2 separate regions of the Mus musculus genome follow, and region 2 is reported to be linked to region 1. The links are microRNA targets in miRTarBase. Many come from high-throughput screens and were not tested one by one. Region 1 holds a microRNA gene; the other region holds the end of a gene's coding sequence.
The links. The annotated mature microRNA mmu-miR-1904 reads GUUCUGCUCCUCUGGAGGGAGG and lies in region 1 at 2,146-2,167, shown strand. An mRNA with a match to its seed (bases 2 to 7 or 8) in the 3' UTR can be bound and repressed. Matches are read on the target gene's strand: a 7mer-m8 pairs with bases 2 to 8, a 7mer-A1 pairs with bases 2 to 7 and ends in A, and an 8mer does both.

Region 2: the mRNA of Bcas2 is a reported target of mmu-miR-1904. Seed matches in the 3' UTR shown: 7mer-m8 at 2,276-2,282 and 7mer-A1 at 2,022-2,028.

Annotation. Positions count from the first base shown.
Region 1 is chr13:109,901,674-109,904,673 of GRCm38, forward strand. It overlaps Mir1904 (microRNA 1904), which reads left to right and starts at 2,136; the gene lies at 2,136-2,215. It overlaps Pde4d (phosphodiesterase 4D, cAMP specific), which reads left to right. Exons shown (of 17, transcript NM_011056.3): 8 at 1,904-2,016.
Region 2 is chr3:103,177,906-103,180,980 of GRCm38, reverse strand. It overlaps Bcas2 (breast carcinoma amplified sequence 2), which reads right to left. Exons shown (of 7, transcript NM_026602.4): 7 at 1,818-2,626. The coding sequence ends at 2,500. Among named protein-coding and RNA genes, the nearest start is that of Bcas2, 7.8 kb to the right of the region's middle.

The sequences.
Region 1 (3,000 bases):
AAGCAAGTCTCACACACTCTAAAAGTTACTGAAATTTTTACAAATGTAAGGAAATCTCAGAATCCTGAGATTCAACCCACCGCATTCTTTGTCCCGCCTGATAATTAATGGAGCCTACATTGGGGCAGAACTTCTTTCCCCCACAATACTGTAGATCAGAAGGGGAAAAGGAGAACCCCACCACTTCACATAAGGCTTTTCCTTTCTCCTGCCAGTTTTGTAGGCTAGACCCCTGGGGTTTCAACTTTTCTCTTTCTGAAATAAGATTGCTGTTCAGTTTCGGAACTGACCGGCTTAGGGAAAGTGGCCAAGTTCCCTGCGTCAGCTTTTATCAGCAGAACCCATTGCCCCATAGTTCTGACAGTCCATTTCGTCCATAGTGGGCAGAAAACAGACTACTAGACTTTCTGTCTTGAGCCCCAAGTCTAGGGTGTTCTTGTGTTTTCTGCAGAGGAGACACCCCAGCAGGGCATGTGTAAATTCCCCTTGCTCCTTGGTTCGTTCCCATTGCTGTTCCTTTAAGGTAGCTCTAGGGTAATTCTGAAGGTGAAATGTAGCCTGTTGTCACATTCTAAGGCATTCTGTCCCCACAACATTATGGTTTGTCTGTTTACATCTAACCCAAATTTTAGAGGGGTTGGCTGGATACTGACAGTCTGTCCCCAGTAGAGACGATTTTATTCCCACAATTCCCTTTGAGTAAGTAAATCCTAACCTTTGGGACACAAATCCATGGAAACTCGCAAACTTAAATTAAACCTGCATGCAGAAAGGGTAGTGCCTGTCCTAAGTCACCTTGCAACCCAGGACAGCAGGGCCTGGCAGGCGGCGCTGGGATAGAGGGCCCGGGACTCCGCTGTGCACCCCAGGGTCCCCCGCGGGGCAGGTGCGCGATTGCACGCGCCTGCGCGCTGGGGGCCAACCGAGCCCCGCCTGAGCCCCGCGGGGACCCCAGGCGGCGGGCGCTCCACGCCGGGTTTTCCGCTGCTCTGGTGCAAGACAGCTCCACAGCAGCGCTGCACACACACACACAGATACACACACAGATACACACACAGATACACACACAGATACACACACAGATACACACACACACACACACACACACACACACACACACACACACACACACACACAAACACACAGATACACGCGTGCGTGGCTGCGCCTCCCTCCGGGCTGCGCTTCAGAGCAGCGGCGCCGGCTGCCTTGGGGCGATGCCGCGGCGAGGTGGCGGGGAGGGCGGTCCGGACGGCTTATTGCAACTCGGAACCCTTTCGTAAGGAGTCGCGGGGGAGCCAGACAGCGCCGCGGGGCCGCGAGGGGCGCAAGGGGGAGTGTTCCCGGAAAGCCAGCATGGAGCGGCGCTGCGCCCGCCCGCCCGCGGACTTGAGCGACAAAACAGGAAACGGCGGCCGCAGCTGATTCATTCGCTTCGCGCGTGGGGCTCGCGGCAGGCGGCGGCGTGGAGCCCGGGGCTGCGGGACGCGGACGTCCCGGAGCCGCTCGCCGGTCTGCGGGGCGAGCCCCTGCTCCCACCCCCTCCCCCCGAGCCGGCCACCAGGGGCAGCATCCCAACGCAGGGAAGCCCGTGCTCGCGCGCCACTGAGAATCCGCCCGCCGTCCCCGTGCCAAAGTTGGCCTTGCAGCACTTTGCGCCCCTCCCTGGAGGCTGACCCGCGACGTCAAGCTGGAGCATCTCAGCCAGCCTGAGCCCGGCCCCACTAGTCCAACCTCAGCCCCCCGCGCGCCGCCGGGCCCTGCAATATGAAGGAGCAGCCCTCATGTGCGGGCACCGGGCATCCGAGCATGGCGGGGTACGGCAGGATGGCCCCCTTTGAACTCGCTGGTGGTCCCGTGAAGCGCTTACGAACTGAGTCCTCCTTTCCCTGTCTCTTCGCAGAGGAGGCCTACCAGAAACTGGCCAGCGAGACCCTGGAGGAGCTGGACTGGTGTCTGGACCAGCTAGAGACCCTGCAGACCAGGCACTCCGTCAGTGAGATGGCCTCCAACAAGGTAAGCCCCTGTTCTGGTTCTGGTGTCAGTGACGCGGCTAGACTGCTGTTTCCCACGCTGGGGAATCACCGATCCCTGTGACCTGGGGAAATACAGAGAAAATTTTGTCACGTTGACTGCAAGTTAGCTGTTCTGCTCCTCTGGAGGGAGGTTCCTGTTTGCACACCTCTCTTCAGGTAGATTAAACATTTTATTTGCAAAACCAACTTTGGCAGAGTTCGAGTATCCCTAGGACGAAGGGTCCTTAGAGTGACATTTTGCCCTTGAAGCAGAAACCCAGTAGGGTCTGGTGGTGGCGTTGCATATCATCAAAGGCACTGCTTAAGATTGCTTGTTGGAAAAAAGCGTTGCAGGACTCAGTGAAGGCACCAGGACGCCACCTCCTACCTCGCTGAAACTCTGAAGAGTTCACTGAACTTGCAACCCTCACTCCCATTTCTCTGGTTCTCAGGGTACCTTGGGAGGATGGAGCCTTTAAATATTCTGTTCCCTGTATGTACCATCTGCAGAGAACAAAGTTCGGAGGGTCTTATGCTGCCTTTGTCTCCTTCGGTCTTGGAGAACAGGTCCAGGTTTCTGAGGTCATTTAGCCGCCACTAGGCTTCAGCTGGGCATTTGTGTCATGTGTGCCAAAGCGCTGCTGGTCTTGGCAATTAATGAAGTAACCTTCAGCATCAGGCAGCTGTTAAGCAGCTTGGGAGATAAGGTAGAATACTTCCAGAGTTACATGTAAAACAACAAAATCATGTGTTTTACGTCTTCGGCTATGCAAAGAAATAATTGAGATTATGTGTTTTTTAATGACCGGGTGGCCTAGGGGCCAGGGAAGGAGGCTTCTACGTATTTGATGCAAACGGCCGAACGAGTCAATCAGGATCTGTGGCAGTTAGAAGGAGTTGTCTCTGTAGACGGTTCTTGTAGTTTTGGACACCTCTTTACAAGGTCAAGAGGGTGGTGACATTTTGCCTCTTGTATCCCTGTCTG
Region 2 (3,075 bases), not on the chromosome of region 1:
GGGAATGGAAACGTAAGGATGACCAGCAGCTGGGGGAGGGAGCTTAGGGTAGAGGAGGTAGTGAGGGAGGAAGTCCAGCATGGATCCTGAGGTATATAACAACTATGTATGAACAGGGACTGAGGGGCCTGGAGGCCAGCATGGGCTTTGATATGCGGCCACAGGTATATGTCAAATGAAGAGCCATATGTCCCTTCTGTCAGAGGTAAGGGAAATGCAGTCTTGGCTGAGCCTGTGTCACACATTCCTGAGAAATGCTGGTTTTTACCTAACTGCCAACAACCGCTCTGAAGTTAAGCTTGAGGGAAGTCAGGACTGTCGCTGCTGGACACTTGCACTGCCTCTTGCAGTTCCAGGAACTGGAGTTTCCTTTGGGACCTGACAATACCACAAACCAATTCCAGGGTCTGAATAATCCATACTATCAAGAGGTCACTGCAGCCTCACTTCACAACTTCTGACAATCCAACATTAATTAAAACACTCCATCAGAGACAGCAGCATTTTCTTGCGTAGTCCAGTCCAGTCTGAGACACCATGAAGGTCTGAGTGACTGGCTTTGGCTATGCAGGGCTCCTGGCTGCCTTCACCTCTTGGTAAAGTGGATACTGTTGCCATGAATGACCTCTCATTGACTACAAAGACAAGGTGTTCCAGTGCAGTTCTAGCCATGGCATACTCCACAGCAATCAAGGCTCAGGATGGGAAACTCAAAGGGAAGGCCATTTCCACCTTCCCGCAGTGACACTCCACCATCAAATGAGGTGATGACAGTGTGGAATATGTTATGGAGTCTACTGGCATCTTTACCACCATGGTGAACAAAGCCCACTTGAAGGGTGGAGCTGAAAGTGTCATCACCTCTGCCCCTTCTGCTGATCATGTTTGTGATGGGTGTGAACCATGAGAAGTATGACTAGCTCAAGACTGTCAGTAACACCTCTTGCATCACCAACTGTTTAACCCCCACACCTAGCACCATCAAGGGACTTATGATCACAATTCAAACCATCACAACTCAGAGGACCATAAATGTTTTAGGCCACAGGACTGCCTAAAGTATCCTTATATCCACTGGCACTGCTAAGGGTGTAGACATGCTCATCCCAGAGCTAAATGGGTAACACATTGGTTTGGCCGCCTGTGTTCCATCCCGCAGTGTGTCCATTGTGGATCTAAGAAGCCATATGCTCCATATACGATGACATCGATAAAGTGAACACGTGAAGGGCACCCTGGGCTGAGGACAAGACTGTCTCCATGATCCCACCTTTGATGCGGGATCTGCGTCACCTCAGCACCTTTGTCAACTCACTTCCTTCATGGCCTCCAAGGAGTAAGAAGGCCCGAACCAGCCCAGCCGTCCCAGCAGGGCAGAGAGGAAGACAGAGGCCTCTGCTGCTGGAGTCCCTGTCCCAACTCAGCCCAGCCCCCAACACTGAGCATCTCCCACTACAGCTGGCTTTTGCTACTTTGTGGGTTCTTCTTTCTCCCACCTTTTATCCTTCTGGCCTTCACCGCTATCACTAGTTAGGAAAGAAGGAAAGGTGAGTGAGAAAGAGCGTGCGAGAGACTTGAATCTAATTTTTCTTCTTGCTTCTTCTTTGAACACGACTACTCACAAACCACAACCAACACTGCCTCTTGGGGCCTTAGACTTTATATCCCTGTGAAAAGTTTCCATTATCCCAAATGTCACCCAATTGCAGAAACTACCTGCAGCTGGCAAACCATGCCTCTACTAGAGCACGAGGCACATCAGTTGCTTCAAAGCAGCCCCATATACCCACACCTGGGATTAAAATGAAAACATATTCTTTTTTTTTTTAAGATTTATTTATTTATTATATGTAAGTACACTGTAGCTGTCTTCAGACACTCCAGAAGAGGGAATCAGATCTCATTACGGGTGGTTGTGAGCCACTATGTGGTTGCTGGGATTTGAACTCCGGACCTTCGGAAGAGCAGTCGGGTGCTCTTACCCGCTGAGCCATCTCACCAGCCCAAAACATATTCTTATATTTCTGCATTTTTAAAAAAGAATCCAAAATTCCACAATTCTCACTACACCTATTTCTATCATAGATCCCTAGAAGGGAGCCTCATTCTTTTGAATACCATCAATAAAGTTCACTATAGCCACACATAAAAATGCTTAGAACTGTAACTTTATTCAACAAAAAACACAAATTCAAGGTTTCCAGCTTCCAGAACATGTTGGATGCCTTAAAAATAAAGGAGCTTCATTACAAAATTTGAAGCCTTAAAAAAAAAATTCTGCTACAAAATATGTCAAAATTATTCTAAAGTCATACTCATTCTGAAAACCAGGTTTTTATAGCATAAAAACAGCAACATGTTGACAACTTTATTTTGCTAAGACACTCACACAGAAGCAATACAACAGTTTACATAGTCCATGGTCTCTAACCATGTAACCACCACAGTCGCTCCGAGAAAGTCCCCGCTGAGTCTGCGGAGCCCACGTCGCCTGAGTCATTAGAAGTCTTGGCGGATGTTTTCCTTGTTGGCCTCCCCGTGCTGCTGCTTGATCTGATAGATCTCGTTCTCCAGCTGGACAATCGTCCGCTCAATCTCATAGTTCTTACTCACCAGCGACACCCAGCTAGGAAAGAGAGTCAAAGGAAAAAGAGAGAAGAGGGAAAAATGAGCGGATGTAAAATTTCTTGCACAGTTTATTTTAAACATATGTAGTTTCACTATGGGCACTAACATTTTTAACTTTCCATTAAAAAACAACGTTATGGGAAAGCAGGGGAAGGGTACACAGGGGCTCTCTGCATTACTTAAGTTACCCAACAATCGTCTCATGATAGTTACCTTAAGAAATAAGCAGAAACAAGAGACTCAGGGAGACAGAAGAGACAGGAAAACAGCATAAGATTAAAAGAACACAGGCAGAGGTTTACACGATGGACAAAATTCTGGAATTGACAAAACAAACTACCACTACCACCAAACCCCATAGCCTTAGCCACTATTTCCTGTAACTAAATCTCCAGGACAAATGTAAAGAGCACTAGCGTGGAGAGAGCTGTGAAAGGAGCCGGCATG